3 linked regions of the Macaca fascicularis genome follow. The protein of the gene in region 3 binds, or shares a complex with, the protein of the main gene of each other region. Links are inferred from orthologs where the notes say so. Each region holds a gene or a part of one and is shown on either strand. Other genes may lie near its edges.

Region 1 (4,214 bases), on a different chromosome or scaffold from region 3:
AGAGCGGACCCAAACATGGGTCAAGTAAATTGATCCATAGACAACTACTGACAGGTTAGTCAGAGGCTTTGAGGTGATCCTACACAACAGCTCTACCCACAATCACAAGTCCATTCCAAAAAACACCATAAAGGAAAAAGTTTCCCCACCTATGAAATGAACAAATTTACTATATCCACATGCTACTACACTGGCCCTTAACCAACTATCTGTATTGTCTTCACTTCATCTTTCCACTCATACATCAAAGACAATCCCACATCAGATAAAGAGTAAAAGATTATGTCTCTCCCGTTGTGTGGTTGTTTTTTGTTTGTCTGGTTGGTTGGTGTTTTACGTGTGTGTGCACCCTGCCGTACGCAGGAAATTGGAGTTTTCAGTTGCTCCCCTTCACACAGGCATTACTCTAAAAATAACACAGGACTGAGAATAAAGCAAAGGAAGGAAGTATTTTCACGATGCCTCCCAGCATTTTCAGTAAGTCCCATATCTCACCTAATTCAACTTCTCCATGAACTCCAAATAATTCACACATTAACAAAAATAGAGTTTTAAGAAGCACTGTTTTTTTTTTTAGAACCGCAACACTATCTTTGAGGAAATGAAACCAAAAAAAGGAAGCAATTTATGACACAGTTAGAAGCATGTCAACCAAAGCTCAACCAGCTGACAATAGTTGACATACTTTGGAAATGTACAAAATTCTGAAGAATTTTAAAAACATCATCATAGTATTAAGTCTAACCTATCAAAATTGAGCGATGTTTTCTGACAACAATCTCTTGGGTTCCACCAGTTCTCCATTCCAAACTGCACTACTACTCACATGTGCATTATTCTCTGGACCTTTCACTGAGCACCTCTGCTGTCCTAAGGAACCATGTGACCAGGAAGCCATCATACATTTTTACCCAAACAGTTCTAGTTAAATCTACCACAATGTAAAGAATTCAATCATTTTACCATCTACCTTAAAAATTAAGCTTTTCTTTCCCTCTTTCTCTTTGGTCTTTTCTTCCTCCCTCCCCACCCCGGGGTTCTTTTTGTTTTTTGTTTTTGTTTTTGTTTTTTTAGATGGAGTCTCGCTCTGTTGCCCACACTGGAGTGCAGTGGCGCGATATTGGCTCACTGCAACCTCAGCCTCCACGGGTCAAGCCATCCTCCTGCCTCAGCCTCCCGAGTGGCTGGAACTACAGAAGTGCGCCAACACCATGCCCAGCTAATTTTTGTGTTTTTAGTAGAGACGGGCTTTCGCCATGTTGGCCAGGCTGCTCTCCACCTCCTGGGCTCAGGCCTCCCAAAGTGCTGGGATTACAGGCATGTGCCACCGTGCCAGGTCTTCATCAGATTTTTTTGAGGAGTCAGTGGCCCCTAAAATATTATGACCAATTCTACACACTTGGTCACCTAAGGACATTTCTGAGCTTGACAGCACTCAGGTTAACAAAGCTCCCTCCAATCAATATCCTCAGGCTTTTCTGGGGTTTTTGCATATTCTGAAACCATACAAAAAACCCAAAGATTCACAATGTCAACTCTTTCCATAAGGATGCTAGTCTTGCTAATTCCTACTGAGAAACAGCTTTTTTTGGAAGGAAATGTTAAGCAACGCAAAAGTTAGTGAAATCACTAATACCCTAGAGTTTATCATGCAGAGTTAACTGTAGAGTTTCTTCCCCCTGACAAAATGTATCAAGGTACAGATAGAAAAAATACCATTTAGAGGATCCAATGATTTATTTCAAGCCTGTTTCATTAAGCTGAGAAAGCTAGTTGCTTATCTTTATAATGCACCAGAAAGTAAAGGTTAGTATTGCTGGGACTGCTTGTGTAAATAAAGCAGGATCATTAAATGCAGGAAAGGAATCCTACGACTGAAGACAGATATGTTTCATATTAGCCAGTCTGGCAAAAATCAAGGTTAGCTCTCAAGAACAGGGCTCAACTAGGTGTTTTTTTTTGTTGTTGTTTTGTTTTTGTTTTGTTTTGCTTTAGCTCTACAGTTAACTGGTTTAGTTACAGAACACTTCCTTTATGTCTGTAATTGCATTCGCCCAAGTGCTGCAAATAGGATGTTTAAACGACTAACTCCTCAAATGTGAGTAAATCAGCCGGCTAATAGTCCACTGACAGCGACGGGGAGGGAATTAACGACGGTGTTCAGGATGCAGGTACAGCGAGGGGGTTGCTGACTATCGCCCACCCACATCACCTTTACACCTGTTCTCAGGGATGAGTTTCTGACCCAGCTCTACGGGACCGGGCGAAGACGAGAAAAGGGGGAGGCTGGGTGCTGCGGACGCTGGCCGGCCGGGGGATTGGCAGCGGGCGTCCACCCGGCCACCCCGCCCTGCGGCCTGCACTTCCCGGGCAGGCGGCGGTCTCGCGTAGAGCGCGAAACCAGGAGCTGAGCCGCGAGTGGCGCCAGACGTGAGGGGACCGCGGCGACCGCCCCGGGGTCCAGGGTCACTCCGCACTCCTAGCCCAGGGGCCCCAGCCCTGCTCACCCGGACTCTTCAGGTTGTAGCGGGTCTCCATGGCGGGTCGCTGGCCTGGCTCCGGCCTCCCGGGCAGCTGCCACCTCCTCTCCACGCGGCCGCTGCCCAGGTCTCAGCGCGGCTCGGGCGGACGGGGCCTGGCCGAGGAGCCTTGGCAAATGCCGCCCAGTCCAGCCCGGACTGCGGGCGGGTGGCAAGGCTGAGTGCTGGCGAGGCGCTGGCTTCGCGATGGCGCCGCCTCCTCCGCTGCGCCCCCGCCTCCCTGAGTGCCTGGCAGGCACCGGCGCCGGCCGGGGCGTCGCTGAACCCGGCGCCCGGGCTGGAGGTCAGCCTCCTCCGGTAGCCGCAGGCCCAGCCCCGTCGCGGCCGCCCGGCTTGCGTCACCCGCCCTCGTCCGGGATTTGTGAAGTTGCCCTGACGTGGCAGTAGCTTCGTGGCGGTCGGTCCCTACCCAGCCGCCGCCGGCCCCGCGAAGCCGGCTTGGGGAGCTGCAGGAGCGAGCGGCGTCCTAGTCCTCTCGTTCCGGCCCCCGGAAACCGGCCTTCCGCCGGACCCTCTGGGGTCCGTCCCCAGGCGCTGGCGGGTTTCACCGAGGAACCGCGCGGCGCGAAGCGGCTCCGGCCCTACCCGCTGTAGGCGAAGTCTGGGATCCCCGGGCCCTGGAGAGCTCAGAGAGGGCGCCGGGCTCCGGCTGCAAAGCTGTCCGCATCCGGCTGCCCGCGCGCGGTCCCGCGGGGTCTGGGAAGGGCTTTGTTTTTAGATCCAGTCCCTGTTGCGGGGGGCGGGAGTTAAGTGAGGAGGGGGAAAGCCAGTGATAAGGGAATGGAATAGGAATTTTTTTTTTTTTTTTTTTGAGACGGTGTCACCGCTCTGTCGCCCAGGCTGGGGTGCAGTGGCGCGATCTTGGCTCACTGCAGCCTCTACCTCCTGGGCCCAGGCGATCCTCCCACCTCAGCCTCCAGCGTGGCTGGGACCGCAGGTGTGTGCCATCACGCCCGGTTAATTTTTTGTATTTTTGATAGAGACAGGGTTTCGTCGTGTTGGCCCGGCTGGTCTCGAACTCCTGGACTCAAGTGATCCGCCCGCCTCGGCCTCCCAAAGTGCTGGGATTACAGGCGTGAGTCACGGCTCTGGCTGGAGTTGGATATTCATAATAGTTTTTTTTCTTGGGTAGTGTATTAGGTGCAAGACGCTGTTTTAGGCATTGCAGGAGTTTTGGGTTTTTTGGTTTGTTTAGATGTAAAAGCTGTCAAAAAAAAAAAAAAAAGGAATTACATTGAATTTGAGGGAAAGCATACAAATATGAAAGGTTAAACTTCAAAGGACACACTTCCTGCTTCATTGTCCAATGTGTGGGATCGAGAGAGAGGACTGAGTTCAGAAGTCTCAAGGAGTAGGAACCTACCTTAGGAAAGGAAAGGAGGGAGGGATTGGGAAGGTGGGGCGGATAGAAAGGGTTAATCAGGTTGGGCAAGTTTTATTCTGTTATATAAAGATATAAAACTCTTAAATTTGATTTGTTTTCTATTGTTAATATAAATCTGAATTTCTTGGTGAAATTGGGAGGAAAAAAGTGAAGGGTATCTAAAATTAGATGGTATCTTTTAAACCATTCCCTGAGGTTGTTTTCTGTATAGTAAACTGATAATCTGATTGGCTGAGACATGCAAACAAAACCAAACTCCAATGCTGTTTCATTCATTCATTGTGTTGAAT
Region 2 (4,075 bases), on a different chromosome or scaffold from region 3:
CCTCCTGAGTAGCTGGGACTACAGGCACCCGCTACTACACCCAGCTAATTTTTGTATTTTTAGAAGAGATGGGGTTTCACCATATTGGTCAGGCTGGTCTTGAACTCCTGACCTCAGGCGATCTGCCCCCCTCGGCCTCCCAAAGTGCTGGTGGCATGAGCCACCATGCCCTGCTGGAAATATGTTTTAAATCTCGGAGGGAGCCCCCTGACTATAAGATGCAATTCTCTTCCCTTAGAATCTGAACTGTCCCTATGGGAGTGTCAACTTCCTCTCTCAAGACTCACCCGAACCTCGGCCTCTCGGGGCCTCCCATTGAGGTCGCACTTGGACCCATTGCCATAGGTCTGGCTGTGGTAGCGTTTCAGACGATGCTGCTTGGAGGCCTGGAGAAGACATGAGGCAGGAGTGGGGGAGATGAGAAAGACAGCAAAGAGGAAGGATGGCACTGCATCCTCACAGAGACAAAAGAATGGCCTGTGCCCCCCAGGAAGCTTTGTCCTAATGGCCACCAAGCCCCAAGAAACAGATCAGCTAATCTTGACCCTCCCCTTCTTGTCAGGGCTTTCAGCCGGTGGCCAGAACCCCTTCTCCCCGAATCCCACACTCTTGCCACCTTGGCTGTTTCATCATCCCAGTCGAAGGCCGATTGGTAGTAGCCAAGATAGAGGACTTCACCTTTGATCTCTGAATCTGCAAGAGAAGCCACAGAGAAGCACTGTTACCCCTAAGAAGAGTAGGAGGGAACTGGGGAGGCAGGTTACCTTCAACGATACGATGCTGAGGGCTTAAGGAAAACATAGGAGGCAGTTACCTTCCATGTGGTATTGCTGGATGTGGCGTCCATAACAGAATTCATATGTCCACCAGTCCTTTGTCTGACAATTAAAAATTAAACAATCAGGGGGATGGGGTGCAGACGTCTTTTATTGGAATCAGAGTCTCCTGGCTCCAAGACACATAGCCTCTCATCTACTTGCACACTCAATTCTCTTCCCTTCACTTCCACTCTCAATTCTCCAGACTTTCAGTAAGGAGGGAGGGCTGCTTTCCTTCTGTGACGTAGAGAGTTATCTCTAAAGTCTATTTTCCACTTGTGGTCTTTCCATTCCTCCCTCTTAAAAGATTTTTTAAATCCTCATTTCCCCTCCATAAAGATAAGAAATTATGGTATCCCTGAAGCAATCATATTAGGGAAACATAGAAGAACCCAAAATTAAATATTAATTGAACTTCTTGGACATTCCTTGCACTGTTCTGGCCACTGGGAATACAACTATGAACAAGATAAATTATTTGACCTCATGGAGTTTACATTCTAATGCTGGGATTCAGACCGAAAATAAACAAACTGATTCAGTTAATATGATTTCAGATCATGAAAAGTGCTACGACGAAAATAAAATTGGATACTGGAGTGGAGTGATAGGGCAGGGGGTGACTTTAGCAGGTAGGCTTAAGAAAGTACTCCTCCTACCCGACGCAGACCCTCAGTCTTGCGTTAGCCCTTTTCTGTGATCTTCTTTTTTGTTTTTTGTTTTTTGGTTTTTTTTGAGACAGAGTTTCACTCTGTCGCCCAGGCTGGAGTGCAGTGGCCCGATCTCAGCTCACTGCAAGCTCCGCCTCCCGGGTTCACGCCATTCTCCTGCCTCAGCCTCCCGAGTAGCTGGGATTACAGGCGCCCGCCACCACGCCCAGCTAATTTTTTTTTTTTTTTGTATTTTTAGTAGAGACGGGGTTTCACCGTGGTCTCGATCTCCTGACCTCGTGATCCGCCCGCCTTGGCTTCCCAAAGTGCTGGGATTACAGGCGTGAGCCACCGCACCCGGCCTTTTCTGAGATCTTCTATCCTAACCTGCTCCTACATTCAGCGAAGTGTCATCAATGGTTACAGGATTCTTTGCTTCTTTCTTGTCCGTGTAATCTGTCTACTCCTCCAATGGTCTTCTTAACCACTACAGGTCCCCTAGATCCTGCCTCATTCACTGGACTACAGTTCTCGGATGAACTGCTAGTTCCCAAGCCCTCATTCTATCTAACCCAGTCCCTTTCACCTTCAGCAAGCAGGGAGCATCTCTCATTGGGCTCAACAACTCAGGGATCCCAGGCCCTTGGTAAGCAGGTGTTTCCTCCTCCCTTTCACGCTGGAAGTGAATAGCTCCAGCTGGCAGGCGACACTCATAGCGCTGTTTGTACTTAGAGGAGACAATCACCACGTCCGAAGATTGGCTCTGGGAAAGAAGGGAGGGTCGGGGGGCAAGGAAGCAAAGAAAGGCTGGGATCAGGGAAAACAACGAAATCCCTCTTCAGACCCTGGGGAAGAGCTCAGTCGAAGACAGAATAAGCCACGAGCTCTCCAGCTGTATTTAGTGGGTGAGGCGAGAGGGCGCTCCCATTTCTCCACGGGAACGGAGTCCCGGTGTTTCGATAGTAAACTGAGACCTGAACGTTGACAGCGGGAAGCCCCACCTCTCCCAATTCCTGGCCCCTAGAGAATGGGTCTCAGTCTGCGATCCCCAGGGATCACCGTAAAAGCAATACCTACTCTTCCCGATTTCCCGTAGGCTCCAGCCCCAGACTCGGGAGCTGCCCTTCTTCCTCTATCTCTTACTCGCTTCCTCTTCTGCCCGGACCCTCGCCCCTTATACGCCTCTCACCTGCCCTCCCATGACAGGCAACGGCAGGATCTCGATCCCATAACGCATCTCACTCAGCTCCTCCAGGTTCAGGCTCCCAACACCGCCAGTCAGACTTGCGGGTAACAGGAGTCCCAGAAGCAGCAGTCCCAACACACTGGACAGCACCGTTTCCGCCGCCATCTTTCGTTCCCCCGCTTATCCAGAGAATCTGTTTCCGCCCTAAGCCTGGCAGCGGCCTCAACACGCCCATCGGCGCCACATGATTTTATTGGCTATATGTTCTATCCCTCCCACGTACCCTATTCCTATTTGTAAACGTAGCTTCAAGGCCCCGGGGAGGTGGATCACGACAATTAGAAAAATCAATTGCGGTCTGTGATTGGTCAGAGACCAGCCAATCATCGACAAGATCAAACCCCTCTCGCCTACCCCAATTTCAGAGGCGTGGTCTATGCGCTTGGCCCTTTTATGTTTGCCCTCTGTCTTTGCCTAAATGTCATGCGCATCTCATTGCTTTTTCAGATGTTTGTACCTGCCCACCGCTGGGCGGAGTATTGAGGCAGATAGGTAACTTGCGCAGTGCCCGTGAAAGTTATTCAATGCTTGTTGCAAAACAAATAATTATTATACAGACGCTTACCTCTTTTCATATATACATATTGCTTCGGGGCAATAAGAAAATTTGTGTCAAAATCTTCCTATACGATCCTGCAGTTGACCTCCAAAAAAACTATCCTAGAGAAATAATGCGGGCAGTCAGACGCGGTGGCACGCACCTGTGGTATCAGCTACTCCGGAAGCTGAGGCAGGAGGATCTCCCGAGCCCAGGAGTTCAAGTGCAGCCTGCACAACACAGCGAAACCGGGTCTCGAATAAGTGAGTACATACATACATACATACATACATACATACATACATACAGGGGCTTCCAGTTAAAGGTGGAATTATGTATTACTCTCCAGGCCGTAAGAAAGGGAAAGGAGACAACAACAGCAACATTTTGGAAGCTGGAAATCGAACCGAAGAATGGTAACTGGTTTAGCAAACTTGAGAATATTGATTACGAAACAAAGGTAAACAAGAGCCTGATTATACCTTTGGAAAATCCTCTCTGGGGAATCTCACCAGCTCCAAAGAAAAATCCCAAAGATACCCTCATCAGAATTCTCTTAATGATGTAGATAATTATAATGAATTCCACATGTAAGACTTTGGCCTAGGTGCCCCAGCCCTCATTTCACTTTCCAATCAGCGTTTTAGTGTTCTTACTCTTCAAAATAAATAGCCAGAGATCATTAGACGTTTAAGGAAGGACTTTAATATACAAGTAAGAAACAAAAACAAACAAGAAGGAAAAAGCAAATGAGAGGAAACATAAATTGCAACGGAGTGGGGAAAAAAAAAAACCACCAAAAATAAAACATTTAAAAATTGGC
Region 3 (3,561 bases):
TACTGGCTGTTCAATAAGTATTTGTTAAAGGAAATCAAGTTTAACTATGGTGAGATTCAGAAAGTCAAATACGAGCCTCAATTCTCAAGTTAGAAATAGTTGAATCAGAATAAGGGAAGAAGTTTTAAGTTTTTCTAACCAATAATTTTCTATCCAATAATTATCCAATTTATATGCTGACAATCTTTTAACTAAATTCCATACACAGAGTATTTCTAAAATAGTATTCCAATACAAGTAAGCCTTGGTATGATACTGTTTTTGATCATTTAAGAAAATTACAGTGCATGGAAATGAAATGATAGAGTGCTTTTAAGATTTTTGTTAGATCTGATAATGGCATTCTAGATATACAGGATAACTAAAAGGTTTTCATAGTTATATACTCAAGTATATAGGGATGAAATAACATAACTGGGGATTACTTTTAAATACTTTAAAAAAAAAGGGGAAAAGGTAATAGATGAGGTATGGTAAAACTCTGATTGTTATTTATTAGGCAGGCCTGGATGATGGTGTGGGGATTAATTATCTAGTCCCCACTGTTGTTTATATTTGAAAGTTCCATTAAGGGAAAAAAAAAAAAAGAAAAACTCACTCCTGAAACACCTGGCTTTATAAAATATTGCATATAAAAACTACTAGGAAAAGGGGGATGGGGAATTGGAGAGTTATAGAATTTCAACTTGTAGTTAATGAATTTTTCCCAAAAAACAAGGTATTCCAAGAGCTATAAAAATCCAAAGAACACAGCATTTAGTTTTGACTTTTGCTCTAAAGAAAAGCTTTAATGGTTATAAAAAATGGCCAACTTTCCTAGTACCCCCAAGTCTCTGGAATAATACTTCTTAAACAGTCTCTCCCTTGTTGTCACCCATTGTTACAATAAAGCACAAAGCCACTCAGCAAAGCAGCTGCACAATGCTTACAACAGCTTTTCTCCTGCAGCAGCAATTTTCTAGCATGACGGCAACCAAGTGGTCAGCACAATGGAAGGATAAAACACTTACATTTTTTTTTCAATATATGCATTGCCTACTTTTTAAATTTGTATATACTAAAAGGCTGTGTATTAAGAAAAGTTAAATATATAAGACATCTTTAAAGCGAAGCTATTTGTAAAGCAAAATTCTGTAGGTTTAAAAGTTCTGATTATATACGTGTAAACACACCTTACTCTTCAATGGATGCAAATGAGGCACATTCACGTTGCATAAGCCGAGATCTTTATTATAACACTCACCTTGAGATGTTCTCCCATTCAGGGGAAGAAAGGTTCCGAAGAACTTCCCTTTGCCTTAAACCATCACTTGAGGAATCCTCAGGATACTGTCCCCGATTAGAACCAGCGGGCTGCTCTGTGGATTCAGCCACCTAAATAAGTGTAACATGAACACAGAACAAGGGAGCTGACGCAACTGTCTGAAATCAAGCGAAAGGAATTATTTTGCTGTCAAGGGCTTAATGTCTCCTACCCCCCACCTCTGAACGTGACAAAATTAAATAGAAGCAACATTATGTAAAAAAGTCTGACATTTATTACACACAATTTTCAATACACAGATGCTAACATATTCATTTTTTTCCCTACAGTAACGATGCTACACTTTCATTAAAATTTCATTAAAATCTTCCAATGAAGTTGTCATTGGTGAGAAAGCTTCTTGATAATGGTGCTAAACTTACTCATTGCAGAAATCTGACCAACAAGATTTATAAATAGAACCCGGCCCAAACTTTCTAAAATAGTATTCTCATACAAGTAAGCCTTGGTATGATACTGTTTTTGATCATTTTTTAAAAATTACAATGCAGGGAAATGAAATGGTAAAGTGCTTTTAAGATTTTTGTTAGAATTGATAATGGCAAAATAGGGAATTTCCTATGCTCTGTTCAGATGTTCTAGGAAATATAATGCAAATTTAGAGTGCATCACTACACCAGAATACTAACACCATATATGTGAATAAACATTGTGAAATGAAAAATAAATGTTTTTGTCTGTCACATAGAAGTCTTTAGAGCCAGGTCCAGTCGCACATGCCTGTAGTCCCAGCTACTCAGGAGGCTGAGGTAGGAGGATCGCTTGCCTCAGGAGGTTGAGAAAAGCCTGGGCCACATAGCAAGACCATATTTAAAAAAAAAAAAAATTCTTTAAAGATCACTTGATAAAGACTCTGATCTTTTCCTATCCAACTAATCATAATGAAAATTTCCAGAGGAAATATATTCACTTTTGTACTCTTTATAAAAATTAATGGCTCCTTTGAAAAAACTTGCTGTGTGCTAAATTCAATAAAAATCCAATCAGTGTTAGTTCAGTAATCTCGATACACAGTAACCATAGATCAAATCATATCCCAGAAGATAGTGCAATATGTAACTCCACTTTTCCACTACAGCAGTAATGGAACAATCTGCTACTATGAACCTATCACTTGTGTTGATAATACAGTTTCTAATTCCTAGGAAAGAAACAAAATATTACTTGGTAATAACACCATACAGTCTCTCAATAAAAGTTTTATCCAACTTCTTTTATTACTCCCCTGAAAGTCTGAATGATACAAATTGTTATCATCATGTAGAAGGAGACACACCTTGGCACTGACTTCTGGCATTTTTGAAGGACTCTTCACATTGCACACCAGATGCAAAACATGCCGTTTTTCCTGCTAAAAGTAATAAGAAGGCACTTAAGGACCTAAACCTAACCTGGTGAGTGCTTAAAAACATTCAGAGGTTAATGTGTAAGTGAGGTACCTTTGGAAGCAAGTCCCTGAGACATTGGTGATCCAACAGCAGCTTCCCGGAATAAATTAACCTCTGGTCCTCTGGACACTGATCATGGAAAGAAAAACACAGGTCAGCATTTCACCCCCAAAAGTTCCTAAACACAGAAGAAACTGTTTTATACAAGTAATTTGATTATGTGTGTTTCCCCCCAGCATCACGGGAAAATACCTGCTCAAAAACCCCACATACAAAACTTCTGTTTAGAAAGTGTCTTTAACTGGTCTCTAACATGCAAATAAACACAGAATGGCGAATTATCGGCTGGGCACAGTGGCTCATGCCTATAATTCAAGCACTGTGGGAGGCCAAGGCGGGTGGATCACCTGAGGTCAGGAGTTCAAGACCAGCCTGGCCAACATGGTGAAACCCCATCTCTACTAAAAATGCAAAATTAGCTGGGTGTGGTGGCTTGTGACTGTAACCCAAGCTACTCGGGAGGCTGAGGCAGGGGAATCACTTGAACCCGGGAGACAGAGGTTGCTGTGAGCCAAGATCACGCCACTGCACTCCGGCCTGGGCAACAGAGTGAGACCCTATCTCAAAAAAAAAAAAAAAAAAAAAAAAAGGCAAATTATCTCCAGTCCAAACCTATGGCAATGTACTTCTTAACTCCCAGGTAAACTGATTCCTGTTACTAAAAGCAACAAACAGCAAACAGGGCACCTACAACCAAATCGAGTTCGGTTTCAGAGAAAACTCAGAGTACTCCCAAGGCCAGCCTTAACCAAATCCACCTAGCAGTGCTCCAAAATAATGTGAAGCTAT

Evidence for each region. The genes of interacting proteins can lie anywhere in the genome.
Region 1: HERPUD1 (region 3) and UBE2J1 share a complex: the UniProt entries of both Homo sapiens proteins name them as parts of the HRD1 complex. The link is inferred for Macaca fascicularis from reciprocal best matches to the Homo sapiens genes HERPUD1 and UBE2J1.
Region 2: HERPUD1 (region 3) and OS9 share a complex: the UniProt entries of both Homo sapiens proteins name them as parts of the HRD1 complex. The link is inferred for Macaca fascicularis from reciprocal best matches to the Homo sapiens genes HERPUD1 and OS9.

What each region holds. Positions count from the first base shown.
Region 1 is NC_088378.1:86,036,709-86,040,922, reverse strand, and holds the start of UBE2J1 (ubiquitin-conjugating enzyme E2 J1), read right to left. Parts: upstream 2,837-4,214; 5' UTR 2,539-2,836; coding exon 2,508-2,538; intron 1-2,507. UniProt on the Homo sapiens protein: Catalyzes the covalent attachment of ubiquitin to other proteins. Functions in the selective degradation of misfolded membrane proteins from the endoplasmic reticulum (ERAD) and is essential for cells to recover from ER stress.
Region 2 is NC_088385.1:64,510,570-64,514,644, reverse strand, and holds the start of OS9 (protein OS-9), read right to left. Parts: upstream 2,837-4,075; 5' UTR 2,820-2,836; coding exon 2,658-2,819; intron 2,232-2,657; coding exon 2,055-2,231; intron 879-2,054; coding exon 815-878; intron 694-814; coding exon 617-693; intron 387-616; coding exon 288-386; intron 1-287. UniProt on the Homo sapiens protein: Lectin component of the HRD1 complex, which functions in endoplasmic reticulum (ER) quality control and ER-associated degradation (ERAD).
Region 3 is NC_088394.1:53,039,757-53,043,317, reverse strand, and holds part of HERPUD1 (homocysteine-responsive endoplasmic reticulum-resident ubiquitin-like domain member 1 protein), read right to left. Parts: intron 2,842-3,561; coding exon 2,764-2,841; intron 2,676-2,763; coding exon 2,601-2,675; intron 1,375-2,600; coding exon 1,244-1,374; intron 1-1,243. UniProt on the Homo sapiens protein: Component of the endoplasmic reticulum quality control (ERQC) system also called ER-associated degradation (ERAD) involved in ubiquitin-dependent degradation of misfolded endoplasmic reticulum proteins.